4 linked regions of the Anolis sagrei genome follow. The protein of the gene in region 1 interacts with the protein of each later gene in a pairwise test. Links are inferred from orthologs where the notes say so. Each region holds a gene or a part of one and is shown in the gene's direction. Other genes may lie near its edges. The genes, in order: NUDT18, NADK, APIP and RAB3IL1.

Region 1 (7,560 bases):
TGCTGCAGGCACACGATGGAAAAGGACACCCATTACGATTCCAGCACGGATGGCTCCAGCACGTCCACCACAGATGAATACGACGACGACACGGACATGGAGCCGGAAGTTGGCAAACCCAACCAGAAGAAGCTGGAGGCCTTCTATGACTGCTATATTGGACTGGAAAACGGCGACTTGAAGAACGTGTGCGATTTTGTGGAGACCTTCGTCAACGATTTGTTGGATGAAGGTCGGAAAACCCTTCCATACCAGAACACCCTTCCTCTAATGGAGAACTGCATCGGAGTGGGCAGCGCCTTTGAAGGGTGGCACATACAACGGCTGTCGAAACCCTTCACTGTCCTGGTGCCCCTCCTGCCGCCCAAAGGCCATTCCTTCCAAATTGAAAGCAGTGATGCTGAGGGTGGACCCAGCAAACATGGCCACATTTTGGTGGAGATGGACTGCGTTTGCAAGAGGCAGCGGCTCCTGGGTGACGTGGTGTGCTTCCTCCACCACCCAGACCGGGATCTGAGTGAAGAAGGCGCATTCCTCCTCCACATTTTGTGCACCAGTTCCCACTTGGATGTGGGGAAGACCATCCGCTGGTACCAGAATTTGGTGGTCAAGGCTTGGAGGAACCTCCGTGAGAGGTACACCCTCGACCTCACGCTCATGCCGTCGGCCACAACATGCCGGTTGAAGCTGGCCTTCCACTCTGGGCGTTCTGTTCTGGTGGACATCACCCTCGGTGTCCAGCAAGGAGACTCCTTGGTCTTCCTAGTCACCCACTGTGGAGACGCCAACCCTACCAAGGGCACCATTTGGCTGAAGACCTTCGCTGTTCAGGAACTGCTCTTCTTTGAATGGTTTGGCCAACGGGCACCCGAATGGAGCTGTCACTTGAAGTGTCTCCAGATCCTGATGTATCTCAAGGGTTCTGGTAGTCCGTCCGGTAAGAACCCTGTCCTCACTGACTACCATTACAAGACTTGCTTGATGCACCTCTTGCTCCTGCGGCCGGTCTCCGACTGGAACCCTGAGAACCTGGCAACGAGGCTCCAAGACATCCTCTTGTTCTTGCACACGGCAGTGCGGGAGAAATATCTCGAGCACTTCCTCATCGGGAACATCTCGTTGCCGATCCAGATCCCGATGCCACAAGTCCTCCGGAGTGCTGAGCCCCTCAATCTTTTTGATCACTTGGCAGCCAACAATGGTCTCCATGCCAAAGCCATAAAGGAAGCCACAGAGATCGTGGAACGGGTGAGGGCCCTCTACTCAAAGCAGGAAGAGTAGCTTGGGTCAGCTTCATTCCCAGAGTCCCATCGAGGAACCATAGAGCCCAATGGCGGGGAAAGTGGTTGATACTGCTTCCAATGGTTCTGAACAAACTTGAATTAGACACACAAGGGAGCGATGGTACCACTGAAGAGTGATCCAAATTCGGCTGTTTTCCTAAGTCATGCTTTACGGATAAGGCAGATAAAGGGTTTCAAATCAATGTCCTTGCAGCAGCTATGATTCTGTATTTTTATATACCCCAGTTCCTCACATATTTGTTCTATTAGACTTCAAATAAAGGCTGGACAAGCGGTGTTCTCAAATTTTATTTCAATGTGGTTTGATTTATTATACACCATCTACTTTCCCAATTGAGGAGCCCCTGGTGGCACAGTGGGTTAAACCGCTGAGCTGCTGAACTTGCTGACCGTAAGGTTTAAATCTGGGGAGCAGGGTGAGCTCCCACTGTTAGCCCCAGCTTCTGCCAACCTAGCAGTTTGAAAACAGGCAAATGTGAGTAGATCAATAGGTACCACTCGTTTACATTTACCTTTAACTCCCAAGGTCTGCTCTGGCAACTATAGGAAAAGCTGTAATTTGGGGTGCATTTACACTGCAGAATTAATGTAGTTTGACATCGCTTTGGCCCCCTCTAAACTGCCATATAATCCAGATGATCAAAGCAGATAATCCACATTATCTGCTTTGAACTGGATTATATTTATTTATTTATTTATTTGCTACATTTATATACCGCCCCTCTCAGCCCGCAGATGACTCAGGGCGGTTTACAGTTAACATCAAAGCATAAGAATACAATAAAAACAATTAAAATAATATAAAATCAGAAGGTTTTAGGAAAAGAGACAAAGAGAGTTCCTGACGTCTGGAAAAGCACGGGTTTATTTCCAGCTGGGACTCTGGAGTGGAGCTGTGTCCAAAAACACTTAAGAGTGCCTGATAAAGGCGTTGACTGCCTTTTTGTACACTTCAAATGCAGGCAAACATGCATCTACATACACTGACATCATTCTCTGCAGGAGCCCCCGGTGGCGCAGTGGGTTAAACCCCTATGCTGGCAGGACTGAAGACCAACAGGTCGCAGGTTCGAATCCAGAGAGAGGTGGATGAGCTCCCTCTATCAGCTCCTCATGTGGGGACATGAGAGAAGCCTCCCACAAGGATGATAAAACATCAAATCATCCGGGCATCCCCTGGGCAACGTCCTTGCAGACGGCCAATTCTCTCACACCAGAAGCAACTTGCAGTTTCTAAGGTCGCTCCCTGACACGACAAAAAAATAATAATTCTCTGCATCACTTTAGCATCACAGAAATATCAAATTCTATCTTCCAACATACAAAAGGCATGTCTCTGTATTTCTTTCTAAAGAGCAGCATACAGCCTACATCCATCAATCAAGGGGCCTACTTTGACCTGTCATGAGGAAGAGATAGGCTCCTTACTTAGCTATAGCCTGGGCTCGGTGCCACTAGGATGGGCTTATCTCTCCCCCCACCCTTTAATGTTCACCTCCCTCTTGCTGTGCCTGGACGCAGCTTGCTTGTCCTGTCAGCTTGAATTTCTGATACAGAGAGAACTTGATACATTTCAGTGCTTGTAAAGTACACAATTTATACATAAACAAATATCTATATTTCTAATATCTCCCCATCAAATCTACACTGCCATATAATCTAGTTCAAAGCAGATTATCTGGAATGTCTATGTAGAAGTGTAGAAGTGGCCTCATAAAATCCAGTTCTTATAATCACAGTAACCCAGAACAGCACCTTGTTGGTCAGCCAATGGGGAAACTAGGAGGTCTTTGTCCAATGAGAAGCGAGGAGCGCTTTCAGTCTAGCCCAGGCCTGGGCCAACATGGGCCCTCCACCAGGTAGGCGGTTAGGAATGGTGGGAGCACTGTGGTGGAAATAAAGGGGGGAAATGTTTGAGCAAAACAATAAAATAACATGTTAAAGAGTGTGTTGTACAAAATGTAACAGTAATAACAATTGTATATCAAATGTAGTAATTGTGATAAATCAATAAAAATTATTATCTCTATATAAAAAAAAGGAATGGTGGGAGTTGAAACCCAAAACACCTGGAGGGCCCAAGTTGGCCCAGCCAATGGGGAGATGAGGAGCACTTGACTCTTCACCCTTAGGCGATCCCTCGTTGGACGAGTAGGCTAGTCTTCCATCCATGACCAGTATTCTTGTGGATCCGTTGGTGGCTGTGGAGCCCTGTTCTTGATCTGCATGTTCTCCTGCAGTGAGGGCATTGGTTTCCAGATGGAATGCAGTCCTGGTCGGGGTTGGCTTGACACGCCTTCCTCTTGGCACGTTTCTCTCTTTCACCCTCCATTCATGCCTCTTCAAATTCTGCAGCACTGCTGATCACAGCTGACCTCCAGCTGGAGCGCTCAAGGGCCAGGGCTTCCCAGTTCTCAGTGTCTATGCCAGAGATTTTAAGGTTGGCTTTGAGCCCATCTTTTAATCTCTTCACCCAACTGGGAAGCGATTACCACTTTGTTCAATGAGGAGTGAATACCGCTGAGCTGTTACCCCAATGGGTACGAGATGAGCGTTTCGTCCAATGAGAAGCGGGAAGCGTTTTACGTCCAGCCAATGGGGAAGCGAGGAGGGTTCGACTCTTTACCCAATGGGGAGGAGAAGAGCGCTCCGTCCAATGAGAAGCGAGGAGCGCTTTGCGTCGAGCCAATGAGTAACGAATAGCGGGCCCCAGGCAGGCCACGCCCACCGGACGCCAGTGGAGAAGGCCACCGAGGGGAGGGAACAAAGCGGCCGTCGCTCTTCATTGGACAAAGCGCAATGCGCTTTGTCCAATGAAGAGCGACGCCCGCTTTGTTCCCTCCCCTCGGTGGCCTTCTCCCTTGGCGTGCGGTGGGCGTGGCCTGCCTGGGGCCCAGGGCCTTCGCGGGCGCCGCCTCCCCGCGCGAGAGGGCTCCGGGGCGCGTGCAGAGGGCTGCCAAATGCGGAAGGCCGGGGCGGGGTCGATGGCCGGGGGCGGGGCGGGCGCCGTGGCGGAGGTGGGGGCGGTGCTGGGCGGGCAGGGCTGGCCCTTGTCCTCGGAGGGCGGCGGGTACGACTCGGCCCCGCTGGAGCCCCCCGAGAAGGCCCGCCTCCGCAGGAACACCACCTACATCGTCCTCGCCGTGCTCCTCAACGAGAAGGTGGGTGCCGCAGCCCAAGTCCTCCCCCTACTAGTGCCAGAAAGGGGAGGACTGCCACTCCCATCACCCCCCACTTCCCAGTCATCAGGCTGATGGGCCTCCTAGTGCTAGAAAGGGGAGGACTACCACTCCCATCATCCCCCACTTCAAAGTCATCAGGCTGATAGGCCTCCTAGTGCTAGAAAGGGGAGGACTGCCACTCCCATCACTCCCACTTCCCAGTCATCAGGCTGATGGGCCTCCTAGTGTCAGAAAGGGGAGGACTGCCACTCCCATCACTCCCACTTCCCAGTCATCAAGCTGATGGGTCTCCTAGTGCCAGAAAGAGGAGGACTGCCACTCCCATCATCTCCCACTTCCCAGTCAACAGGCTGATGGGCCTCCTAGTGCCAGAAAGGGGAGGACTGCCACTCCCATCAACCCCCACTTCCCAGTCATCAGGCTGATGGGCCTCCTAGTGCCAGAAAGGGGAGGACTACCACTCCCATCATCCCCCACTTCCCAGTCATCAGGCTGATGGGCCTCCTAGTGCCAGAAAGGGGAGGACTGCCACTCCCATCATCCCCACTTCAAAGTCATCAGGCTGATGGGCCCCCTAGTGCCAGAAAGGGGAAGACTACCACTCCCATCACCTCCACTTCCCACTCATCAGGCTGATGGGCTTCCTAGTACCAGAAAGGGGAAGACTACCACTCCCATCACCCCCACTTCCCAGTCATCAGGCTGATGGGCCTCCTAGTACCAGAAATTGGAAGACTACCACTCCCATCACCCCCACTTCAAAGTCATCAGGCTGATGGGCCTCCTAGTAGCAGAAAGGGGAGGACTGCCACTCCCATTACCCCCCACATCAAAGTAATCAAGCTGATGGGCCTCCTAGTGCCAGAAAGGGAAAGACTACCACTCCCATCACCCCCCACTTTCCAGTCATCAGGCTGATGGGCCTCCTAGTGCCACTCCCATCACCCCCCACTTCCCAGTCATCAGGCTGATGGGACCCCTAGTGCCAGAAAGGGGAGGACTACCACTCCCATCACCCCCCACTTCAAAGTTATCAGGCTGATGGGCCTCCTAGTGACAGAAAGGGGAGAACTGCCACTCCCATCATCCCCCACTTCCCAGTCATCAGGCTGATGGGCCCCCTAGTGCCAGAAAGGGGAGGACTGCCACTCCCATCACCCCCACTTCAAAGTCATCAGGCTGATGGGCCTCCTAGTAGCAGAAAGGGGAGGACTGCCACTCCCATCACCCCCATTTCCCTATAATCAGAAAGCCCCCCTCCGATTATTGGGAAGCCACTTTCCATCAGTGGGCCTGGGATGATGGGAGTTGTAGTGCTCCCCTTTCTGGCACTTCAGGGCCCATAATCTCCCCCTCTTTCCCTCCTTACTCTCCTAAGAAGCTACTTTTAGGCGAGAGAGGAAGGAGGGTATGGATGCTGGGAGTTGTAGTCCTTCCCCCAAAAGGAATAACTTTTCTTTTGGATCCAGAGGAAGACGAGCCCTATAGTGCCAAAAAGGAGAGGACTTCAACTCCCATAATCCCAGTGTGTGGGTGGGCAGGCAATGATGGGAGTTGTAGCCCCCCTCTAAAATGAACTGGAAGCTACTTTGGGAGCGGGGAATGGATGCTGGAATTTGCCATGTCTCCTTCGAAAAGAAGCACTTCCATAGGAAGGATTTCCCTTGGGGATCCAGGGGATGATGTTCCCTGCAGTGCCGGAAAGGGGGGGACTGCCATTCCCATCATCCCCCATTTCCCACCGAAATGGGAAAGGGGGCTCTCGCCGGATTCTTGGGAAACTACTTCCCATCTCTTTGGGAGGTGGTTGATGGGAAATGTAGTCCCCCTCCAAAGGGAGCTCTGGTGCCATTGACTGTTTGGCAAGGGGATGCTGGGCCTTGCAGTGGAAGAAAAGAGGCCTTCTCGAAATTGATGCTGCTTTGTATCTCATTCAAGACCTAAAAGTGAGATATGATGAAATGATGATGATGATGATGATGATGATGATGATGATGATGATAGGCTTAAGGGGGATGCTGGGTACTGCAGTGTAATAAGAGTGCTTCCTCTTACTTGAGTCGGGAGGAGAGGTAGGCAAAAATAAAATTATCCATATAAATAAAAATGTAATGTTTGTTTGTGAGATTAACAGAACTCAAAAACCACTGGACGAATTGACATCCAATTTGGACACAAGACACCTAACAACCCAATGTATGTCCTTCACTAAAAAAAAATGATTTTGTCATTTGGGAGTTGTAGTTTGCTGGGATTTATAGTTCACCTACAATCAAATAGCATTCTGAACTCCACCAATGATGGAATTGAACCAAACTTGGCACACAGTTCTCCCATGATCAACGGAAAATACTGGAAGGGTTTGGTTGGCATTGACCTTGAGTTTGGGAGTTGTAGTTCACCTACATCCAGAGATCACTGTGGGCTCAAACAATGATGGATCTGGACCAAACTCGACACGAATACTCAATATGCCCAAATGTGAACACTGGTGGAGTTTGGGGAAAATAGAATCTTGACATTTGGGAGTTGTAGTTGCTGGGATTTATAGTTCACCTACAATCACAGAGAATTCTGAACCCCACAAATGATGGAAATGGGCCAAACCTTCCACACAGAACCCCCATGTGGGCCACAGCAACGCGTGGCAGGGACGGCTAGTTATTAATAATAATACCATGCTGATTGGTGGGGAAAATTATTATTGTTATTAGGAAACTACTTGTCATGCTGATTGATGGGGGAACATTATTATTATTATTATTATTATTATTATTATTATTATTATTATTAGATTGGCCCCCTCCCTCCTGACCTTCTGTAAGAAAGTGAAAATGTGGCTCTTTGATCAAGCCTTGGGAGAACTGTGTAACAGACAGATATAGAATTATGTGTAAGGACTACTGGAACGACCCGGCTTATGATTATGAACAGCATGATGTAACTGTGGTAATATTGGTTTAATTGTTTTTAAATGATTTTGATGTATTTATAATCCTACTAGCCGTCCCCTGCCACGCATTGCTGTGGTCCACATGGGGGTTCTGTGTGGAAGGTTTGGCCCAATTCTGTCA
Region 2 (7,890 bases), on another chromosome or scaffold:
AGGGAATTTCAAGTTCAATGAAACTACAACTCCCAGGATACCATAGCATTCTGCCATAGTGGTGTCAAACTCCAGTGCAAGATGCTTGCATTTAGCATTGGAATGGGAGGCTATTAAAATAAAAAATACATCATTCCTTCTTTATTTGATATCCGCCTTGCTATTCCTTATCGAAGCGACAATTAGAAAAATAGATGATTATGATCCTACAATATCTGCTTTGAACTGGGTTCAAGATGAGTCCACACTGCCATATATTCCAGTTCAAAGCAGAAAATGGGGAATGTTATTCAGCTGTGTGGAAGGGCCCAGAATTGGAAAAAGTAGGAAAGGGTGGGCGGGGTCATGCCAATAATAATAATAATAATAATAATAATAATAATAATAATATAGTTGTATTTCATGTAATATTATTAATAACATTACAATATAATGGTATAGTACAATATAGTAATATATAAGACTGATATTGTACTAGGCTAATAATATAATATATTGTGTGTGTGTGTGTGTGTGTGTGTGTATATATATGAAGTGACTGGACTGACCTTGAAGGAGCTGGGGGTGGTGACGGCCGACAGGGAGCTCTGGCGTGGGCTGGTCCATGAGGTCACGAAGAGTCGGAGACGATGTGTGTGTGTGTGTGTGTGTGTGTATGTGTGTGTGTGTGTGTATATATATATATATATATATATATATATATGAAGTGACTGGACTGACTTTGAAGGAGCTGGGGGTGGTGACGGCCGACAGGGAGCTCTGGCGTGGGCTGGTCCATGAGGTCATGAAGAGTCGGAGACGATGTATGTGTGTGTGTGTGTGTATATATATATATATATATATATATATATATATATATGAAGTGACTGGACTGACCTTGAAGGAGCTGGGGGTGGTGACGGCCAACAGGGAGCTCTGGCGTGGGCTGGTCCATGAGGTCACGAAGAGTCGGAGACGACTGAAGAAATGAACAACATATATATATATATATATATATATATATATATTAGGCCTGGTCAATCCATGGTTCTAAATGTTTCTAAATTACTTACAAAACTAAAGTTCTGGTGGTGAAAATTTCAGAACTCTTAACAAACCTCTCAAAATTTCATTCTAAATGGTAGTTCCTAATTGATTCTATCATAAAAATCACCAATAATGAAATAATAATAATTGAATTTTGAAAGTTTTGTTAGAGTTCTGAAATTTTCACCACCAGAACTTTAGTTTTGTAGACTCTCCTCTACAGTTCCATTTTGGCGCAGCCTTAGTATCGAACGATTGTGTTGTTAAAGTGCGAAGTATGTATTACAGTAAGTCGTAGCAGGATCAAGTGTGCATTAAAGAAAACCCTTATGGTGTTAATTATTTTGTACAGCTGGTAATGTAGGTCAGCCAGCATGTTTGGGGTATAACTGTATGGATTTTAGAATACAGTTCGGAGAAGCAATACGCTACTCTGAGGAAGAGAAGCAATATGCTGTAATGCTGCTACGCTCTAACAGCGATGCTTTGTGCTATGGCGAAATCACTCTTTACTCAAGGCTTGTTCGGGCTAGTTAAGCGCCTTGGACTATTATTACGACGAGACATTTCTCAGAAGTGGCTTTCTGCCCCGTCTTTTGTTGACCTTCCCGAGACAGCTTTGGGCCGCCTTGGCCAAATCTCTGCTTAGAACGGCTCTTGGGAATGTGCCCTTCGGAAATAAATCCCTGCTTAACGGGGCCGGAGAGTTCTCGCTGGGCGTCTTATCCAACGTCTTGCACATTGGTTTTAGTGCCACCGAGATTGGGTAACATAGATCTATCCATATATACATACATAGCATACACAGCGTTGTTTATATATGTATATGTGTAATGTATATGTATATTTTATATATTATATATGTATATATATATGTATACATACATAGCTCCATTTATATATGTATAAGATATATATATATGTATATATATTAAGCACCCTCCCCAATTCTAAGGTGAACCCTATACGTACATAGCATACGTAGCTTCATTTATATATGTATATGTGTAATATATAATGTATATTATACGCACACACATATATATGTATATGTATATATATATAAATATGTATTAATCACCCTCCCCCATTCTAAGGTGCACCGCATACATACATAGCATACATAGCTTCATTTATATATGTACATGTATATTACGTATATATGTGTGTGTGTGTGTGTATATATATATATAATGTATTAATCACCCTTCCCAATTCTAAGATGCACCCCATACATATATAGCATACATAGCTTCATTTATATATGTATATGTATAATGTATATATATGTGTGTGTATGTGTATATATATATATATGTATTAATCACCCTCCCTAATTCTAAGATGCACCCCATACATATATAGCATACATAGCTTCATTTATATATGTACATGTATATTACGTATGTGTGTGTGTGTGTGTGTGTGTATATATATATATATATATTGTATTAATCACCCTTCCCAATTCTAAGGTGCACCCCATACATATATAGCATACATAGCTTCATTTATATATGTATATGTATATATATGTGTGTGTGTATGTGTATATATATATATATATATATATATATATATATCACCCTCCCTAATTCTAAGATGCACCCCATAGCATACATAGCTTCATTTATATATGTATATACAATTATATATGTATGTATATATGTGTGTGTGTGTATGTGTGTATATATATATATATAATGTATTAATCATCCCAATTCTGAAATGCACCCCATACATACATAGCATTCATGGCTTCATTTATATATGTATATATATATATATGTATATGTGTGTGTGTATGTATATATTGTGTATTAATCACCCTCCCCAATTCAAAGGTGCACCCCATACATACGTAGCATACATAACTTCATTTATATATGTATATGCATAATATATAGTGTATATTACACATACACATAGAGTTGGAAGAGACCCCCAAAGGCCATCCGGTCCAACCCCATTCTGCTGGGAAGACACAATCAAAACCCTCCTGACAGATAGCCATCCAAGCCTCTGCATAAAGACAGCTGGCAAGCCGCTGATCCTTTCCTGGAAAGTAAGCCTGAAGGAGTTCATGGCCAAGGCCGCTTTCTTTAGAAGCGACCGGCTGAGCCGTCTCAAAATAGGCCTTCGTGGCCCGATGAGCTGTCGGGCCTCATTGGCATCATTCTGAAGCTCCATCGGTTGTGTTTTCAGAAGGAAAAGCTTTCAGAGTATGTATGCAGGTTGGTTGGAGAGCCATGCTGACATGAAGGCATTGTGAAGAGGTGGAGAAAGGAAGGAAGGAAGAAAAGAGAAAAAGAAGAAAGAAAAAAAGGGGAAAGAAGGTAGGAAGGGAAGGAAGGAAGGAAAGAGAAAAAGAAGGAAAAAGAAAGGAAAACGTAGGAAGGAAAGGAAGGAAGGAAGAAAAAGAAGGGAGGAAGGGAAGGAAGGAAGGAAAGAGAAAAAGAAGAAAAAGAAAGGAAAAACGTAGGAAGGAAAGGAAGGAAGGAAGAAAAGAAAAAGAAGAAAAAGAAAAGAAAAACATAGGAAGGAAAGGAAGGAAGGAAGAAAAGAAAGAAAAAGAAAACAGGAAGAAAGGAAGAATAATAAGGGAGGGAGGAAAGGAAGGAAGAAAAAGAAGGGAAGGAAGGAAAGAGAAGACAGGAAGGAAGAAATATAAGGAAGGAAGGAAAAAAGGGATGATGGGAAGGAAGGAAGAAAAGAGAAAAAAGAGAGGAAGGAAGGAAGAAAAATAAAAGCGGAGGGAAAGGAAGGAAGACAAAGAGGGGAGAAAGGGAAGAAAGGGAGAAAAGAGAAAAAGAAGACATGAAGGAAGAAAAATAACAGAGGGCGGAAAGGAAGAAAGGAGGGAAGGAAGGAAGGAAGGAAGGAAGGAAGAAAAAAGGAGAAAGGAAGGAAGGAAGAAAAGAGAAAGAGAAAAAGAAGACAGGAAGGAAGGAAGAAAAATAAGGGAGGGAGGGAAGAAAGGAAGGAAGAAAAGTAAGAGAGGGAGGAAAGAAAGGAAGGAAGAAAAAAAGAAGACAGGAAGGAAGAAAAATAAAAGTGGGAGGAAAGGAAGGAAGAAAAAAGGAGAAAGGAAAGGAAGCAAGGAAGAAAAAGGGAGGGAGGGAAAAAAAGAAAAAGAAGAAAGGAAGGAAAAGGAGGGGGAAGAAGGAAGAAAGAAAGAAAAACAAGGGAGGAAGGAAAGAAAGGAAGAAAAAGGAAAAGAAGGGAGGAAGAAAAGGAAGGGAGGAAAGGGAAGAGAAAGGAAAGAAAGAAAGAAGAGGGGAAAGGTGTATCAGAAAAGGCAAGAGGAGAAGGAAAGAAAGGGGGAAAAAAGAGGGAGGAAATGCCTGAAGGCGAAGAGAGGAAGAACCCTCCTCCTGGGAGCAGTTTGACTCCCCCTTGGAGAGTGGCACAGCTCAGGCGCGATGGCATCCTGGGAGATGTAGTCTTTGCCCCGCGCTTCCTCCCTCTGCGTCGATGAGGGCCGAGACTACGACTCCCGTGGTGCCACCGCGCTGAGCCCTGGCAGCGGTGCGCATGCGCGTTGGGGGTGGCGTGAGGAGGCGCCCCGCCCTCGGAGGGAGGCGCGCATGCGCAGTGGGCGCGCCGGTCCCTTCCCTCAGAGGGCGGAGGATGGAGGGCGGAGGCGGGCCGGAGTGTTGTGGCTTCCCAGGCCGAGGCCGGCTCACCTGGCCCGGCTGGAGGAGTTGCCGGCGGGCGGGAGGCTTCTGAAAAGGCCCGGGAAGGAGAGCGAGGAGGAGAGAGAGCCAGGCCCACGGTGAGCGGGGCGGGCCCAGCTTGGACTACATCTCCCGGCGTCCCTCGCGGCTGGCTGCCTCGGCAGGGGCTGATGGGAGTTGGAGTCCCTTATCTGGGAGGGCAGGCCTGAGGCCTAGGGAGAGGGAGAGGCCTGGCTGGGTTGGCGAGCCATCTGTCGGGAGGGCTTGGATGGTGTCTTCCTACATGGCAGGACTGTGTTTATCTATCTGTGTTTATCTGTCTGCCTTCTGTCTATCTATTTGTGTTCCCTGTCTGTCTGTCTGCCTGCCTATCATCCATCTATCTATATAGAATGCCAAGAAGCAGGAAAATCTCATTCAAAGCACCCCTGACAGATGGCCATCCAGCCTCTGTTGAAAAGCTTCACAAGAAGGAGCCTCCACCACAATCAGTATGCTTCACAGATTTCTTTCATAGAATCCTAGAGTTGGAAGGGACCTTCCAGTCCAACCCCATCCTGACAAGAAGCAGGAATATTGCATTCAAATCACCCCTGACAGATGGCCATCCAGCCTCTGTTTCAAAGCCTCCAAAGAAGGAGCCTCCACCACACTCCATGGCAGAGAGTTCCACTGCTGAACGGCTCTCACAGTCAGGAAGTTCTTCCTCATGTTCAGGTGGAATCTCCTCTCTTGTAGTTTGAAGCCATTGTTTCACATCCTAGTCTCCAAGTTCACTCCCTCCTCCCTGTGGCTTCCTCTCACATATTTATACATGGCTCTCATCATATCTCCTCTCAGCCTTCTCTTCTTCAGGCTAAACATGCCCAGCTCCTTAAGCCGCTCCTCATAGGGATTGTTCAGACCCTTGATCATTTGAGTCGCCCTCCTCTGGACACATACGTCTATCTATATACCAATCTTATCTTTGTTCCTATCTATATGTTCCTACCATCCGTGGTCCTATCTATCTATCTATCTATCTATCTATCTATCTATCTATGGGTATTCTTATCTGTCTATCTGTCTGTCTATCTATCACGGTTCCTATCTATGCTCCTATCTATCTATCTATCTATCTATCTATCTATCTATCTATCTATCCTATCAGTGTTCCTACCTATGTCTCTATCTATCTATCTATCTATCTATCTATCTATGGGTATTCCTATCTGTCTGTCTAACTATTCCTATCTATCTATCTATCTATCTACCTATCGGTATTATTATCTATCTATCTGTCTGTGTATCACTGTTCCTATCTATCTATGTTCCTGTCTGTCTGTCTGTCATTGTTCTTATCTATCTGTCTATTTATCTAACTAACTAACTAACCCATCTGTTTTCCTACCTATGTTCCTAACTATTTATGTCCCTATCCATCTATCCATCTATCCATCTATCCATCTATCCATCTATCTATCTATCTATCTATCTATCTATCTATGAGTATTTCTATCTATCTGTCTGCCTGTCTAATTGTTCCTATCTATCTATGTTCTTATCTATAGATGTCTCTATCTTTCTGTCTGTCTGTCTATCTATCTATCGGTATTCCTATCTATCTGTCTGTCTATCACTGTTCCTATTTATCTATGTTCCTATCTATCTGTCTATCATTGTTCCTATCTATCTATCTATCTATCTATCTATCTATCTATCTATCTACCTATCCTATCAGTGTTCCTACCTATGTTCCTATCTATCTGTCTGTCTATCTCTGTTCCTATCTATCTATGTTCGTATCTATCTGTCTGTCTATCTATCAATCTATTTATCTATCTAACTAACCTATTTGTTTTCCTACCTATGTTCCTATCTATTTATGTCTCTATCTATCTATCTATCTATCTATCTATCTATCTATCTATGGGTATTTCTATCTGTCTGTCTGCCTGTCTAATTGTTCCTATCTATCTATGTTCTTATCTATCTACCATTGTTCCTATCTATCTATCTATCTATCTAACCTATCAGTGTTCCTACCTATGTTCCTATCTATCTATGTTCGTATCTATCTGTCTGTCTATCTATCAATCTATTTATCTATCTAACTAACTAACCTATTTGTTTTCGTACCTATGTTCCTATCTATTTAGGTATCTATCTATCTATCTATCTATCTATCTATCTATGGGTATTTCTATCTGTCTGTCTGCCTTTCTAATTGTTCCTATCTATCTATGTCCCTATCTATCTATCTATCTATCTATCTGTCTGTCTATCTATCGGTATTCCTATCTATCTGTCTATCACTGTTCCTATCTATCTATGTTCCTATCTATCTGTCTATCATTGTTCCTGTCTGTCTGTCTGTCTGTCTGTCTGTCTGTCTAACCTATCAATGTTTCTACCTATGTTCCTATCTACCTATGTCCCTATCTATCTATCTACCTACCTACCTACCTATCAGTATTCCTATCTGTCTGTCTATCTCTGTTCCTATTTATCTATGTTCCTATTTATCTGTCTATCATTGTTCCTATCATCTATCTATCTATCTATCTATCTATCTATCTTATCAGTGTTCCTACCTATCTATGTTCCTACCTATATATGTATGTATGTATGTATGTGTCTATCTATCTATCTATCTATCTATCCTGTCTATCTATCCTGTCTAATCTATCAGTGTTCCTACCTATCCCTTCTGTTGTGTTTTTCAGTGTTTTGATGAGTGATGGTCACTCCTTGGCCTGAGAGGTGTCTTGTGTCCAGATTTGGTGTCAGTTCGCCCAGTGGTTTTGGAGTTATGTGAATCCCACAAACTAACATTACATTTTTTTTATCTATATAGATTATAACCATGCAATGTAAAAGGAAAGTTGCAATAGATTGAGTGGGCCCGGTGGCCTCGAATGTGGAAGAGTTTTGTCTATTTTTAACTTTGGGCATAAGGGGTGGATTAATCAAAGTTACATAAATCAAGAGCCGTGGAAAAGAGCCACACAAGTGTGTTTATCTAAGTTTATTTTCCTCCTGTTTCTTATGACTCACTGCCTTTGTGGCATGAATTTATTTCGGAGCATCGGATGGTTGTAGAGACAAAGGTTTTGGTAACCGTTATCCTCATGTGGTGCTTTATTTTAAAAGTCTGGTACCAAATTTTTATATAGCTTATAATATAATGTAATGTAATACACCATAT
Region 3 (8,376 bases), on another chromosome or scaffold:
ACAACAACCCAGTGATTCCGGCCATGACAGTCTTTGGCAATACATTATTATGCTAGCTTTTCAATCCATATTTCAGAGTCTCAACCAATTCAGCACAGTTTGTGGCAAAGTGTCTTATAGAATAGGTTGTGTTTAAAGTTAATTTTAATTGTTACATTATAATTTGTCTTTGTATGCTGTGTAGTTTCAATTTTAATTGCTATGTGTGAATTAATTATTATGTTTAGGCATTGAATGTTTGCCTTTTTGTGACTGGAATCTGTCCTGAGTCCCTACGGGGAGATAGGGCAGAATATAAATAAAAATTATTATTATTATTATTATTATTATTATTACTACTACTACAACAACTACTACTTTCAAAGTAAGTACCACACAATTAAACAGGAAATAACACTTTCAAACTAGGGGCAGATTTTTTTTAAATTTAATTACATAGTGTTATCATCATTATTATTACAGAATTATAAACTGTCAAGGTGCACACTAGGCATGGGCAAACTTGGGCCCTCCAGATGTTTTGGACTTCAATTCCCACAATTCCTAACAGCCTCAGGACCTTTCCTCCCCCCCCCCCTCCCCCAGCTCCTTAGCTGACTGAGGGGGGAAAGGAAAGTGCCTGAGGCTGTTAGAAATTGAGGGAGTTGAAGTCCAAAACACCTGGAGGGCCAAAGTTTGCCCATGCCTGATCCGTGAACATGAAAGGCCAACTGTAGAGTTTGCAATATCTGGTCGTCTCAGACCAATATCACAGCACCATTGGTAGTTATCACATGCCTTGAAGTTGTTTGTGACCTATGGTGACTGAAAGGTTATGCTATTTCAGGATTTTGGGGGTAAAAGATTAGTTCAGAAGAGGCTTGCCATTGCTTTCCTCTGAGTGTGACTTGTTTAAGGTGTGAGTGTGGCTTGTTTAAGGTGATGTTCTTAGGTTATTTTGTCCAACACTTCACTGAGGAAAATGGGGATACATAGTTGTGTATTTTGTAAGTACCAAACAATTAAACAGGAATTAGCACTTTCAAACCAGGGACAGAATTTTTTTTAGTTTAGTTACATATTTGAGAGAGCCTTCTCCATTGTGGCCCCCCAACTTTGGAATTCACTACCTAGTGAGATTAGGCAAGCCTGGCAGCTTTTAAGAAAGACCTTAAAACTTGGCTCTTCCAATGTGCTTTTGGTCAGTGAACATATATTCCATATCCTGTTTGTTCCAACTACAGTTCTGTCCTCATGATCCACTTTCCCCTGTCCTTAATGAAAGTTTAACCCCACTCTTTTGAGCCCTTCCCTCAGAAACACATTCTCCCACTACTATCTCATCTAAGGTTTTATCAATTTTTATCCCATGCATTTGGCCCGCCCATTGTGTTATATTTCTTTCTTGTTATTCTGTAACTATTTTATTTAGCTATTTTATACATCTTATTTTGATGTTATTTTTGCTTTGTTGTATTTTATTTTGCTGTATTGTAATCCTGGGCTTGGCCTCATGTTAGCCGCCCCGAGTCCCCTTTGGGGAGATAGTGGCGAGGTATAAATAAAGTTTATTATTATTATTACTAGCGATCCCCTGCCACACATTGCTGTGGCCCAGTTTGGTGATTTGGAAAATAAAGTAATGAGAAAGTGTTGGTTTCTAATATATGTAATTTCTTTATGCTTGTGGGTAATCGGTATTTCTTGCTGTTTCTTTGTCAGTGTTGATTGGGAGATTGTCTGGTTTGCCTACTCTGGAACATGCAACATATAATTGTCCTACTTTAGGGCCCCCTTTCAAATCTATGACACTATATGTGTGTGTGAATCATATCTATCTATCAATATCTATGGCTGGATGGCTCTTTGTCAGGAGGGCTTTGATTCTGTTTTCTTGCCCTGGTGAAGGGACTTGGACTGGATGGCCTTAAATTGGTCATGGGGGTTCTGTGTGGGAAGTTTGCCACAAATCTGTCTTTGGTAGGGTTCAGAATGCTCTTTGATTGTAGGTGAACTATAAATCCCAGTAACTACAAACCCAATTGTCAAGGTATATTTTCCCCAACTCCACCTGTGTTCATATTTGGGCATATGGAATATTAATGCCAAGTTTGGGCCAGATCCATCATTGTTTGAGTCCACAATGCTCTCTGGATGTAGGTAAACTGCAACTCCCAAACTCGAGGTCAATGCCCACCAAACCCTTCTAGTGTTTTCTGTTGGTCATAGGAGTCCCGTATGCCAGGTTTAGTTCAATTCCATCATTGGTGGAGTTCAGAATGTTCTTTGTTTGTAGGTTAACTATAAATCCCAGCAACTACAACTCCCAAATGACAATTTTTTAATTTATTTTTTTTAGTGATGGTCACTCCTTAGGTTAGTAGGTGTCTTGTGGCCCAATTTGGCGGCAATTCATCCCGTGGTTTTTGAGTTATGTTAATCCCACAAACGAACGTTACATTTTTATTTATATAGATTATTATCATTATCATCATCATCATTATTACAAAATTATAAACCGTTATCGGTGTAGGTGATAGTATGATAGCTGGGTCCGGGTGCTCCGATTGTTACGCACATTCTGCAACAGCAGTTATGAATAAGGAAAGGGGAGAGCAGCACACTGAGGGCGGGAATATACTTCAATTTGGTGGAAAGATAGAAAGGAGAGGAGGGTTAGGATAATGTTTAGAGTAAGGTTTAGGATTTGGGGTAGAGTAAGGATTAGGATTAGGGTTAGAATTAGGCGTAGGGGTTAGGCTAAGATTTAGGGTTTGGGTTAGGATTAGGGTTTGAGTTAGGATTAAGTTTAGGGTTAGGGTAAAGTTTGGGGTAAGGGTTTGGGTAAGGTTTAGGGTTTTACCATTAAAGAATTCTTACATTCCTTCTATAATATCTGTGTTCCGTTCTGCGTTGCGCAAACAGCACTCCCGAAGGAGCGAAGCAGAAACAGCGTAACGCTCAGAGCTTCTGGACCCAGTGTTCATACTATTACCTTCCTAACAGCCGATGCAGAAGTCCAAAACACCTGGAGGGCCAAAGTTTGCCTATGCCTGGTGTATACATTGTTTATTGATTGATTTATTGATTTATTTCTGGTATTTCTACCCTGTCTCTTCTCTACACCTGGAGGGGGTCTCAGGATGGCTTATATTTGGCATTGATTCGATGTTGCTACATATAAACAATTACAATAATGTATTGTCGAAGGCTTTCATAGTCGGAATCACTGGGTTGTTGTAGGTTTTTTCGGGCTATATGGCCATGTTCTAGAGGCATTTTCTCCTGACGTTTCGCCTGCATCTATGGCAAGCATCCTCAGAGGTAGTGAGGTCTGTTGGAACTGGGAAAACAGACCTCACCTCTGAGGATGCTTGCCATAGATGCAGGCGAAACGTCAGGAGAAATGCCTCTAGAACATGGCCATGTAGCCCGAAAAAACCCACAAGAACTCAGAAGCTATTTCTTTGCCGCACACACAACCTCAAGGCTCCCTTTTGCTTCCCTTTCAATGACATTTCTGCCTGACATTCCCCCAGGAGTGAGACTGCGGGCAAAGGGCCCATTTCACCGCTCTCTAGCAAGGCACTCACCCAGAAGCTCCTGAGTCCTGTGCAGAAACCTGCCCCGCATCTCCCGAGGCGGGCAACGCAGGATCCCTCGGGAGACACTGCTGCCCAGCCACAGCTTGGCCGCTCCTCTGCTGCAGCGGATGAGCCACAAGGAGGCCGCCATCTTTCCCTCTCCCGCCGCCCTCCCGCCGGGGCTGTCTATCGCACTGCCTGAGAGGAAAAGGCACCAAGGGGCTGGCCTCCCTTCCGCCTGCACAAAACTCATCCTCCACTGTCTGCACTCAGTGTGCAGTGGGGACACTGTCTACCCGGCATCCGAGAAGCAAAACGTTTTCCTCTCATTGAAGGAGGCTTCCTGCACTATAAGTTACTATGTATACACAATGGCATCACAATACCATGCCAGGCAAAATGATAACAACCAACGGGTGAAGCTTCCCCAACACTATTTCTCTGCTGAAAGAATCACAGAGTTGGAAGAGACCTCATGGTCCATCCAGTCCAACCCCATTCTGCCAAGAAGCAGGAAAATTGCATTCAAATCACCCCCGACAGATGGCCATCCAGCCTCTGTTTAAAAGCCTCCAAAGAAGGAGCCTCCGCCACACTGAAGGGCAGAGAGTTCCACTGCTGAACAGCTCTCAGTCAGGAAGTTCTTCCTAATGTTCAGATGGAATCGCCTTTCTTGTAGTTTGACAGCGTTTCTCAACCTAGGGGTCGGGACACCGGGGGGGGGGGGGGGTCGCGAGTGGGTGTCACAGGAGTCGCCGAAGACCACCAGAAAACACAGTATTCCTGTTGTTCATGGGGGTTCTGTGTGGTAAGTTTGGCCCAATTCTATCGTTGGTGGAGTTCAGAATACTCTTTGATTGCAGGTGAACTATAAATCCCTGCAACTACAACTCCCAAATGTCAAGTTCTGTTTCCCCCAAACTTCACCAGTGTTCACATTTGGGCATATTGAGTATTTGTGCCAAGTTTGGTCCAGATCTATCATTGTTTGAGTCCACAATGCTCTCTGGATATAGGTGAACTACAACTCCCAAACTCAAGGTCAATGCCCACCAGACCCTTCCAGTATTTCCATGGGAGTTCTGTGTGTCAAGTTTGGTTCAATTCCACCATTGGTGGAGTTCAGAATGCTCTTTGATTGTAGGTGAATTATAAATCCCAGCAACTATAACTCCCAAATGACAAAATCAATTCAATATCTCATCACTCTAGAGAATGAATCCACTTTAAATCCTATTGTTGCAGGATGTCCCCCCAAAACATAGTTTTGCAGTTTAAAAAACCGTTTCCATGTGTTTATGATAGACCCAAATGGCATTTATAACCCAGGAACACAAATCGTATTCTATAGTGTAATGCTGTGTTTCCCAAACGTTGGTCTGCCAAGCGTTTTGGACTTCATCTCCCAGAATTCCTACTCGTTGCCCAAGGCAGCTGAGGCTTCTGGGAGTTGAAGTCCAATAAACTTTTAGCACTATAGTCTGGGATTCGCCTATGCAACTGCGTCAGGAGCAGGAAAGGGCCGGGGTCTTCCTTCTCCTTTCCGATTTCAGCAGCCCAATAGGAAGAAGGAAGGGCAGCTGCTGAAACCTAGCTCTATGGCTGAAGCCCGGGGGGATTGCAGCTGTCCCTGCAGGAACGGCTGGGAGAACGCCAAGGTAACGAGGAAGGAACTTGTTTCGGTCTCCTTTCGGCCCATGCAAGCTGGGGAGAGAGGGGCTTCATCATGAATTTTAAACTTGTGTCCTGTGTTTTAATCTCTGTTTCTGTGTATTTTAGTATGTCTTAATATGTTTTAATATGTATATTTTATAGAAATACATTTAATACATGCATTTATAGAATATTTACAATGTTTAAAGGTAAAGGTTGTCCCACGCCTTTAAGTTCACTTGTGTCCAACTCTTTCCAAACATGCCATGTTGCTGACATGCTTTTTTAGACGTGTATTGTTTCAAAACTCCATTTCTAAGCAAAAGAGCCGGCGTTGTCCATAGACACCTCCAAGTTCATGTGGCCGGCATGACTGCAAGGCGCGCCGTTACCTTCCTGCCGGAGTATTGATCTACTCACATTTGCATGTTTTCAAACTGCTAGGTTGGCAGAAGCTGGGGCTGACAGCGGAAGCTCACGCTGCTCCCCGGATTTGAACCTGCAACCTTTCGGTCAACAAGCTTAGCAGTTTAACCGACTGCGCATTGTTTATGCATTGTAATTATGCTGTAACCTGCCTCCACCCACTAGGAGAGGCAAGTAAAAATAATAAAATCATTATTATGAAATTGTGCCTTTAGAATGATTAAGACCTGTTGTCACATTTGGCCTTTTAAAAAAAACCCTCTGGAGATCAGTTTGAAAAATCAAGAAACTTTGTAGTAGTATTGCTCTCCTTCAAGTCCCCCATTAATTTTCATAGGATTTCCATAATAGACAAGGGATACTCAAGAGGGAGTTTGGTTCCCTCTGAAATATATCTTAGTCTATTCCAGCTTTCCAAACATGTCATGTTTCTGACACACTTTTTTATTGTTTTAAAACAGCTTTAGTAGCAAACAAGAGGTTAAAGTTCAAAACAGGCAATGTTTTGAACTAGGTTATATCTGTTTTGAACTAGATTATATGAGTCTACACTGCCATATAATCCAGTTCAAAAGGGTGTAGATGAACTACAATTCCCAAAAAATCATGGGCTAATCACCTCAAACCCTGCCAGTATTGGCCAAGTTGGGTCTGTATGTCAAGTTTGGTCCAGATTCGTCATCGGCTGGGTTCATTGCTCTCTGGATGCTGGTGAACTATAACTCCCGGATTCCAAAATCAATCTCCCCAAACCCCATTAGTATTCAAAGTTGGCCAAGTTACATCTGTATGTCAAGTCTGGCACATATTCGTTGTCGGTTGGGTTCAGTGCTGTCTGGATGCTGGTGAACTATAACTCCCGGATTCCAAGGACAGTCACTACCAAATCCCACCAGTATTCAGTGTTGACTGTTTTAATTTTTTATTGTTTTATGGGCCAAACATTCAACTAGTAAACCTGTAGATACCACATAAAATCGGGGAGTGCCCAATGGGGTAACACTCCCCCTTAAGACACAGGTCCACACTTTGGGGGTCCTCCTGGACTCAGAACTGACACTTGACACTCAGGTGTCGGTGGTGGCAGGGAGGACCTATGCACGATTGAAGCTTGTGCACCAACTTTGATCATACCTCGAAAAGCCAGAACTGGTCACGGTGGTCCATGCCTTAGTTCCATCTCGTATGGATTACTGTAACGTATGGATTACTGTAATGTAGGGCTACCTCTGAAGATGACTCAGAACAGGCATGTAGCCGGGGGGGGGGGGGGGGCTCGGGGGGCTTCAGCCCCCCCCCCCCGAAATTTTCATGGTGGTTCGCGAAAAGGCCTTAATGGTGCATTATTTAAACTGTTATGTTTATTCATATCATGATCTGATCACCATACTCAATATATCCCATATGCATGGGGGTATTGGGGTAATGATACAAAAGGTTTCACTCAGACTCAGCCCCCCCCCCCCCGAAACCCCCCCTGAAAAAGTTCACCCCCCCCCCCCCCGAAACGAAATCCTGGCTACGGGCCTGACTCAGAAGCTCCAATTAGTACAAAGATTGGCACCCAGGTTGCTGACGGGGGTGGGTTATACAGATCATACAACTCCAACCCCCACCCCACCCCCCAAGCAGCTTCACTAGTTGCCTATTTGTTTCTGAGCCCAATTCAAAGTGCACGTTAGTACCTAAAAAAAAACTCTGCAGGGCCCAGGTCCTGCCTATTTACGTTACCACATCCTCCCATATAAATCTGTTTGGGCCTCACGATTGGCTGAGGAGGCCTTCCTCTCGGTCCCACCTCCTTCACAAGCGAGGCAGGCGGGGATGAGGGAGAGAACCTTCTCAGTGGTGGCCCCCCAGGGACTTGAGGACCTGGTTATTTAAACAGGCTTTTGATAGTGATTAGTCAATCTCTAGGATATGGACTTAGTAGCAAGCAGCAAGCCCCTTTTAGCTCATAGGAATGAGTGTGTTTTTAATCTAATGTTCATAATTTTATTGTTAATTTTTGTGACTTGATTGTGCTGTATTTTGTGTTTTATATCGATGGATGTGTTATTGTTTATTCCATTTTATGATTTTTATTGTATTGCACTTATTGTATATTTATATCGTAAGCCACCCCGAGTCCCTTGAGGAGAGGGAGCGGGATATAAATAAACTTTATTATTATTGAAATCCAGACTATCTGCTTTTATGATTTTGATTACCTTCCTAAATGCAGGTTGACAATAACAGATTGGCAGGTAGTTGATGATTCTCTTTTGAGGGCCTAATGAAACACTAGATTGAATGTATGCTGGGAAAAACAGTGCTTCATACTGTTGTTCTGCACCTTCACATCATTTCTAGCTTTGTTTACATCTGTACTGTAGAATTTTAATGCAAATTGACACCACTTCAACTGCCATGGCACAATGCTATAGAATCATAAGAGTTTTAGTTCCATGAAACACAAGCACTATTTGGTAGAGAAGATGAAAGATTTCGTAAAACTGCAACTTCCATGATTCCCTAGCATTGAACCATAGCAGTTAAAGTGGGGTCAAACTGTGTTAATTCTACAGTGTAGATACAGCCTTAGACTAATCTATCACAGGGTTTTCTGAGGTCAAAAGTGTCACCCAAGGGTTTCATGGCTAAGTAGGGAACTGAACAGGATCTTCAGGGTCTTGGTTCAACATTCAAACTACTACACCATTGATTTTGTCATTTGGGAGTTGTAGTTGTTGGG
Region 4 (8,229 bases), on another chromosome or scaffold:
GGAAAATTATGGGGCATGCCTTTTATTAGAACCAGCCAAAATGCAAGCCTATCAGTACTCTTAATCATTTGAGAGAGCATAAAACTGAGGGGACAGGAGAAAACACCCACAAAAGTCCCAAATAAGAACACTGAGGACCTGCACCATACTGGCTCTCTTATATCTACATTAACCCATATAAGTTTCCATGCAATTGAAACTTCAAGAGCAATGTAGTCCCCTAAAAACAAAATCTTGAAAGGGCTGCATATGTTCCACAATACAGATAGAAAAAAGTTTTGACTAAAAAAACCACTTGTTGGAAATATCATGCATTTATTTCTGTTCTTGCTATATCGGGTGTTGGCTTTCATGGGCTTCTTAATGTCTGTGCAAAAGAATTCTAAATTTTTCATTGTAGAAGCATGAAGGGAGGTGGATATATTTATTATTAATAGTTTTGTGCATTTCTTGTGTTATTTTTTATGTCAACCCTATGGATGAGAAACCTCCAACCATCTCTACTCAGGCCTTGTAAATCAGGGCAGCCAGGGTTTCTTTGACTGAGTCAATCCAAGTGTAGTGTGATTTTCCTGTTTTCCTACTTCATCTCACTTTCCCCGGCATATTATATGTTTTCTCACATTTCATGCCTATGAGGAGGTAGACTGCTATTAATGGAAGCTTCTATCATAATAAATGTTTTAGTTTTTAAGGCAGCGGTGGGCCTGAGATATTTATTTATGACATTTCAACCCCGCCTTTCTCACCCCAGAGAGGACTCAAGGCAGCTTTACATACAGGCAACAATTCAATGCCCAAAAACACAATGTATATTTAAATAAATATTAAAATAGAATTTAAAAATACATTAAAACAATTAAAACATTTAAAAACTATATATTAAGAGTTAAACACATAATCCACGAGCATAATCCGGGCCATTCTAATGATCATTGCACATAAACCCAAGTCCATCTATTGCACAAGTTCTTTAAAGGCTTGGTCACAAAGCCACATTTTCACTCTCTTGTGGAAGGTCAGAAGTGAGGGGGCTGTTCTAACATCACTAGGGAGGGAGTTCCACAGTCAAGGGATCACCACTGAGAAGGCCCTGTCTCTCATCTTGGTCAATCATGCCTGCAAGGAAGGAGGGATCAAGAGCAGGGGCTCCCCAGATGATCTTAAACTCCACAGTGGTTCATAGAGGGAAATACGTTTGGACAGATAAGCTGGGTCAGAACTGTTTAGGGCTTTATAGGCTAAAGCTAGCACTTTGAATTGTGCTCGGTAGCAAATTGGCAGCCAGTGAAGCTGACGTAACAGGGGGGTTTTATGCTTCCTGTATGCCGCTCTGGTGAGCAATTGGGCTGCCACCCGTTGGACCATTTGGAGCTTTTGAACCGTCTTTAAAGGCAGCCCCGCATACAGCACATTGCACTAGTCTATTCGAGATGTAACCAGAGTGTAGACTACTGTGGCCAAGTATAACTTCCCAAGGTACGGGCGCAACTGGCGCACAAGTTTTAATTGTTCGAACGATCCCCTGGCCACCGCCGAGATCTGTTGTTCCAAGCTCAGCAATGAGACCAGAAGAACTACCAAGCTGTGAACCTGTGTCTTCAGGTTGTAACCCTATACGCTGTTCAGCTGTTTGTTGTTGTACTGCAACTCATGGAAATGCCTAGGTACTATAGCCAATGGGTTTAATGTGGGATCAAGGGAGAGACAGCTCTCAAACTGAAAAGCCCCGGTTTTCCTCAGTTTTGGCTTTCCATTAAACTCTATCTGGGCAACAGATCACAAAAGACAACTCTTGCAGTGAATTACCCTTCAAGGACATCTTGATATACATGTTAACTGCTTACAGAGCAATACCTGCTGCTACTTCCTTCCCTGCTCCTCTTTATTGCTGTAATAGCCAAAGGCCAAAGAAGAAATTGCCAAGCATTGCTCAAAATCAGGAGAAGCCTGCTTCTGTTCTTGGGAAACTCCAGGAGCCATATGGATGACCAAAAAATGAGAGATATGGGGTGTGGCTGGAAGCCTGCTTTCTAGCATTGAAAAACAAGTGTTTGACTTCATATTGAATGGGGGTGGATGGGTCAATGGGAGTGCAACCTGTTTCAAAGGCGAGCTGCTGCTCCTGGAGGCTTCTCTGGGAGGCTATTTCTGAATTGTTGTCAAATGAACTTCGACTTATGGAGAGCCTATTCTTGAGTGACTTCTGTGTTCCCGTGCCATCTTTCAGACTCAGGACAGCCATGGCTTGAATCTATCCATCTGAAATGGGGTCTTCTTACAGTCCTCCATTTTGTCAAGCACTGCTGTCTTTCTAATGCGTGAATTCTGGATGGCCATCTGTCAGGGGTGATTTGAATGCAATATTCCTGCTTCTTGGCAGGGGGTTGGACTGGATGGTCTATGAGGTCTCTTCCAACTCTTTGATTCTATGATTCTTCTCCTATGTCCAAAGTAGGACAGCTTCAGTTTAGTCATAATACATAAATAAAAAAATAAATTGTATTTTTACCTGTTTCTCCTTATGGCTCTTGGCAGGGCACAACACAGTTAAAATATATTATCATAACATAAGTTTTATGAAAACTTATATTAAAACTTATTTTTTACAAAATGCACATATTAGAGTATAGAACAAAAATTAAAATACAACAAGCATAGAACAGTCCTCCAGGCATTTTGGACTTCAACTCCCACAATTGCTAACAGCCTCAGGCCATTTCTGCTTAAGCGGATGAGGGGGGAAAGGAAGGGGCCCAAGGCTGTTGGGAATTGTGGGAGTTGAAGTCCAAAACACCTGGGCTGAAGTTTGCCTGGACCTGATATAGAATGTGAATCTAAAATTCATAGTTAATAATTGCCTGCTGGAAGAGATGGGTCTTCAGAAGTGTCTTGCATTCTGACAACTGACTGAGCTGTCAAATATCTTCCAGCTGCTCCTCTTTTGGACAGCAAAGGAAAAGGTCCTCTTGGATGCACTATCTCTGTGAGTGCATCTACACCAGGCCTGGGCAAACTATACTTTGTTCTAGTGGGTTTTTTCGGGCTATAGAGCCATGTTCTAGAGGTATTTCTCCTGACGTTTCGCCTGCATCTATGGCAAGCATCCTCAGAGGTAGTGAGGTCTGTTGGAATTAGGACAATGGGTTTATATATCTGTGGAATGGCTGGGGTGGGGCAAGGAGCTCTTCCCTGCTGCAGTTAGGTGTGAATGTTTCAGCTGATCACATTCATTAGCATTTGAAGGCCTGTCTGAGTCTGGGAACATCTCTTGCTGGGAGGTGTTAATCTGTGCCTGGTTGTTTCCTCTCTGTTGTTTTGCTGTTGTAATTTTATAGTTTTTTTAATACTGGTAGCCAGATTTTGTTCATTTTCATGGTCTCTTCCTTTCTGTTGAAATTGTGCACATGCTTGTGGATTTCAATGGCTTCTCTGTGTAGTCTGACATGGTGGTTGTTGGTGTGGTCCAGCATTTCTGTGTTCTCAAATAATATGCTGTGTCCAGGCTGGTTCATCAGGTGCTCTGCTATGGCTGACTTCTCTGGTTGAAGTAGTCTGCAGTGCCTTTCATGTTCCTGGATTCTTGTTTGGGCACTGCGTTTGGTGGTCCCTATGTAGACTTGTCCACAGCTGCATGGTACACAGTAGACTCCTGCAGAGGTGAGAGGATCCCTCTTGTCCTTTGCTGAACATAGCATTTGTTGGATTTTCTTGGTGGGTTTGTAGATTGTTTGTATGTTGTGTTTCCTCATCAGCTTCCCTATGCGGTCAGTGATTCCCTTGAAGTATGGCAGGAACAGAGTCAGGAGAAATGCCTCTAGAACATGGCTCTATAGCCCCAAAAAACCCACAAGAACCTAGTGATTCCAGCCATGAAAGCCTTCGACAATACATTAAACTATACTTCCTTTCACTTAAGCATCTGAGGGGGGAAAGGAAGAGGCCTGAGGCTGTTAGGAATTGGAGAGCTGAAGTTGGCCCATGATTGATCTACAGAATATAGTATAAATGCAGTTTGGCACTACTTTTGTTATCGAGCTCTTTTTTGGGGTCCTCCCAGCGAGGGAGATCCCAGAAGACCGCATCACTTTTACTGCCATGGTTCAATGCTCTGGAATCCTGGGAGTTTCAGTTTAGCAACTCACCAGCACTTTTTGGCAGAGAAGGCTAAAGACCTTGTAAAACCACAACTCTTGGGTGAAAAGGAATCCTGTGAGGGAAAGGCTTAAGAGGCCCTGGAACAATGTGTTGTCGAAGGCTTTTATGGCCGGGTTGCTGTGAGTTTTCTGGTCTGCATGGCCATGCTCCAAGCATTCCCTCCTGACGTTTCACCCACATCTATGGCAGGCATCAGAGGTTGTGAGGTCTGTTGGAAAGTGATGTTTATATATCTGTGGAATGTCCAGGGTGGGAGAAAGAACTCTTGTCTGCTTGGGACAAGTGTGAATGTTGCAATTGGGTTGTTGTAGGTTTTTTGGGCTATATGGCCATGTTCTAGAAGCATTCTCTCCTGAAGGAGAGAATCAAGCTGCAATTGGCTAGCTTGATTAGCAATGAATGGCCCTGCAGCTTCAAAGCCTGGCTGATTGCTGCCTGGGGGGAATCCTTTGTTGGGAGGTGTTAGCTGGCCCTGATTAATTTTTGTCTGGAATCCCCCTGCCAAACGTCAGGAGAGAATACTTCTGGAGACATGGCCATACAGCCCGGAAAACTCAGAGCAACCCGGCCCTGGAGTAGTGTGGTGGGAGTCTCTTTCTCAGGAGATATTTTAAAGCAGGGGCTGAATCCAGGCCATTTGTCAGGAGTATCCCAGAGGGTTGGACTAGATGGCCTTTAGTGGTCTCTTCCCAGTTTAGGATTCCGTTCATGAGTGGATAGAGTGAGAGAAGGGGGGTCACGTGAAAGCGGGGGGGGGGAGAGCTTTCGGGGAGGTCACGTGACCTCTCCTCCTCCTCCTCCTCCTCCTTTCCTGCCCCCTCCCCCGCCCATCCCTTCTCCTCCAGCTGCGGAGGCGTCCGAGCAGCTGGGCTGGGAGGGTTTCCAGCGCCTGCCGCAGCGGCTCCAGGAGGGGAAAAGCCAAGGCAAGCGGGCCGCCCTGCATTGAAGGCGAGCTCTGCGCTCTGCCTTGCAAGGAAGGAGACCCGACCATGGCTATGGCTATGGCTATGGCTATGGCTGCGGCGGCGGCGGCGGAGGCGCCCTCCTTCTCTTCCTGAGGCTCCGGCGGCCACGTCCTTGGAGGCAGCATGTGGCGCGGGTAGGTGCTGCGGGTTAACGGGGAGGGTGGCAGAAAGGGCACCGAAGGGGGCTGCTTCCCCGGGGCCTTTTGGCCTGCCTTCTGCTCTGCACCAAGGAGGGGAGGCTTGGAGAAAACCCGGTGCGGAGGTTTTACAGCTTCAAGGGTGCATCTACACTGCGGAATGAATGCAGCTTGACACCACTCTCACTGCTGCCCTTCGCTTTCCCTCCAAACCACAGGATTCCACAGCAGAGCCGTGACAGTTCAAGTGGTGTCCAATCGCTTTCCTTCCACAGTGGAGAGCACCCCAAAGGGCAGCAGGGACCACTCTGTCTTCCAAGTCGCATCTCGCTTATGGTGACCCTCAAGCACCCCGTCACATTAGTTCTCATCACACTAGAGAACGAATCCACTTTAAATCCGGTTTCTGCAGAATTCTGGGAATTGTAGTTTAGGGAGGAACCTTTAACAGCCTCACTAAACTACAAACCCCAGAATTCTGTAGGAGGCAGAAACCAGTTTTAAAGTGGATTCATTCTCTAGTATGATCAAGTAGCTTGACACGATTTCTTCCAGAAGGTGTTTGCAGTTCCCTTCCTTGGGCTGAGAGAGAGTGACTCACACAAGGTCATCCAGTGGGTTTCCATGGCCCACCAGTGGTTTGAACCCAGGTCTCCAGAGTCATCATCCCAATGTTCAAGACATTTTGTCACACTGGCTCCTCTGTGGGTTGGGATTGTGGACAGAGGCGGCCCTAGGTAATTTTCAATGGTAAGCAAACAGTATTTTGGCACCCCCCCCCCCCCAACCAATCACTGATGTATATTTTCTGTTCGTCGTGGGAGTTCTGTGTGCCATATTTGGTTCAATTCCATCATTGGTGGAGTTCAGAATGCTCTTTAATTGTAGGTGAACTATAAATCCCAGTAACTACAACTCACATATGTCAAGGTCTATTTTTCCCCAAGAGTGCCTCAAGAGCGCCCCTGGGCAAAATCAACTATGCTGCAAATGCTTACTTTGCGTAATGGGTTGAGCCACCCCTGATTGTGGATGTGGGAGACTTTTCCCCGCCTTGCTTTGCACCCTCCCCATTCTTTCCCATGCTATTCCTCTCCTACTCCCCAACTTCTATTAGTTCAAGCCTGAACCTGATGGGCAAAGGTCACCCAAGGATGGGTGGGAGGCATGAGACTAGAAGTTGCAGATGAAGGGTCTACCTTCATTCTACCTGCCAAAATGCTAAAGACCCTCAGGCACCCCATCACAAGGTTTCCTAGACACGATTTCTTCCAGAAAGCATTTGCAGTTCCCTTCTTTGGTCTGAGAGAGTGTGACTCACACAAGGTCACCCAGTGAGTTTCTGTGGCCCAGCAGAGATTCTAACCCAGGTCTCCAGAGTCATAACCCCAGCATTCAAGTCTCACACTGGCTCCTCTGTGGGTCGGGGTTGTGGATGTGGAAGACTCCTCCTCCTTTGCTTTTCATACTCTCCATTCTTTGCCATACTTCCTCTCCTCCAAAGCAGAATAGAGGGGTAGCATTACTTCCCTAGATCTAGGGAAGTAATGCTACCCCTCTATTCTGCTTTGGTTAGAGCACACCTGGAATATTGTGTCCAATTCTGGGCACCACAATTCAAGAGAGATATTGACAAGCTGGAATGTGTCCAGAGGAGAGCGACTAAAATGATAAAAGGTCTGGAGAACAAGCCCTATGAGGAGCGGCTTAAGGAGCTGGGCATGTTTAGCCTGAAGAAGAGAAGGCTGAGAGGGGATATGATAGCCATGTATAAATATGTGAGAGGAAGCCACAGGGAGGAGGGAGCAAGCTTGTTTTCTGCTTCCCTGGAGTCTAGGACGCGGAACAATGGCTTCAAACTACAAGAGAGGAGATTCCATCTGAACATGAGGAAGAACTTCCTGACTGTGAGAGCCATTCAGCAGTGGAACTCTCTGCCCCGGAGTGTGGTGGAGGCTCCTTCTTTGGAAGCTTTTAAGCAGAGGCTGGATGGCCATCTGTCAGGGGTGATTTGAATGCAATATTCCTGCTTCTTGGCAGGGGGTTGGACTGGATGACCCATGAGGTCTCTTCCAACTCTTTGATTCTATGATTCTATTCTATGAACCTGGAAGATCACTCAAGGATGGGAAAAAGGCTTGGGACTAGAAGTTGTGGATGAAGGTTCCTTTTAGTTAGCTGTCTTCTAGCTGCCAGAATGCTAAAGACCCTCAGGCACCCTGTCACAAGATTTCCTGGACATGATTTCTTCCAGAAGGCCTTTGCAGTTCGCTTCCTTGGTCTGAGAGAGTGTGATTCACATAAGTTCAACCAGTGGGTTTCTGTAGCCCAGCAGAGATTCGAACCCAGGTCTCCAGAGCCATCACCCCAAGGTTCAAGTCTCACACTGGCTCCTCTGTGGGTCGGTGTTGTGGATGTGGTAGAATTTTCCCCACCTTGCTTTGCACCCTCTCCATTCTTTTCCATGCTACTCCTCTCCTCCTCACCAACTTCCACTAGTTCAAGCCTGAACCTAATGGGCAAAGATCGCCCAAGGATGAGTGGGAGGCATGGGACTAGAAGTTGTGGATGAAGGATCCTTTTATTTAGCTGTCTTTTAGCTGCCACAATCACATGTCCATAGCAGGAGGAGATCGATAATCTGGTCTCCAGAAGTTTGACCCTCCAGTTGAATTCTGAAGAAAAAGTAAACACACCATTCAGAACTGTTGTTGTGGAGTGCCTTCCTGTCATTGTGATTTAGTAGTAAAGGTAAAGGTTTTCCTCTGACATTAAGTCCAGTCGTGACTGACTCTGGGGGTTGGTGCTCGTTTCCATTTCTAAACTGAAGAGCCGGCGTTGTCAGTAGACACCTCCAAGGTCATGTGGCTGGCATGACTGCATGGAGCGCCATTACCTTCCCACCGGAGCAGTACCTAGTGATCTACTCACATTTGCATGTTTTCAAACTGCTAGGTTGGCAGAAGCTG

The links.
Region 2: the proteins of NUDT18 (region 1) and NADK interact in a two-hybrid assay, tested with the Homo sapiens proteins (2 studies listed by BioGRID and IntAct). The two-hybrid records come from large-scale screens. The link is inferred for Anolis sagrei from reciprocal best matches to the Homo sapiens genes NUDT18 and NADK.
Region 3: the proteins of NUDT18 (region 1) and APIP interact in binary tests that used the Homo sapiens proteins (3 or more experiments, as listed by UniProt). The two-hybrid records come from large-scale screens. The link is inferred for Anolis sagrei from reciprocal best matches to the Homo sapiens genes NUDT18 and APIP.
Region 4: the proteins of NUDT18 (region 1) and RAB3IL1 interact in binary tests that used the Homo sapiens proteins (3 or more experiments, as listed by UniProt). The two-hybrid records come from large-scale screens. The link is inferred for Anolis sagrei from reciprocal best matches to the Homo sapiens genes NUDT18 and RAB3IL1.

What each region holds. Positions count from the first base shown.
Region 1 is NC_090027.1:21,780,574-21,788,133, reverse strand, and holds the start of NUDT18 (8-oxo-dGDP phosphatase NUDT18), read left to right. Parts: upstream 1-4,157; 5' UTR 4,158-4,264; coding exon 4,265-4,465; intron 4,466-7,560. Other genes in the region: ITPRIPL1 (inositol 1,4,5-trisphosphate receptor-interacting protein-like 1), read left to right, coding at 1-1,281. UniProt on the Homo sapiens protein: Mediates the hydrolysis of oxidized nucleoside diphosphate derivatives. Hydrolyzes 8-oxo-7,8-dihydroguanine (8-oxo-Gua)-containing deoxyribo- and ribonucleoside diphosphates to the monophosphates. Hydrolyzes 8-oxo-dGDP and 8-oxo-GDP with the same efficiencies.
Region 2 is NC_090033.1:1,677,573-1,685,462, forward strand, and holds the start of NADK (NAD kinase), read left to right. Parts: upstream 1-4,623; 5' UTR 4,624-4,801; intron 4,802-7,890.
Region 3 is NC_090021.1:268,821,217-268,829,592, reverse strand, and holds the start of APIP (methylthioribulose-1-phosphate dehydratase), read left to right. Parts: upstream 1-5,044; 5' UTR 5,045-5,161; coding exon 5,162-5,221; intron 5,222-8,376. Other genes in the region: PDHX (pyruvate dehydrogenase protein X component, mitochondrial), read right to left, coding at 3,573-3,714. UniProt on the Homo sapiens protein: Catalyzes the dehydration of methylthioribulose-1-phosphate (MTRu-1-P) into 2,3-diketo-5-methylthiopentyl-1-phosphate (DK-MTP-1-P).
Region 4 is NC_090021.1:237,453,045-237,461,273, reverse strand, and holds the start of RAB3IL1 (guanine nucleotide exchange factor for Rab-3A), read left to right. Parts: upstream 1-4,976; 5' UTR 4,977-5,246; coding exon 5,247-5,257; intron 5,258-8,229. UniProt on the Homo sapiens protein: Guanine nucleotide exchange factor (GEF) which may activate RAB3A, a GTPase that regulates synaptic vesicle exocytosis. Promotes the exchange of GDP to GTP, converting inactive GDP-bound Rab proteins into their active GTP-bound form.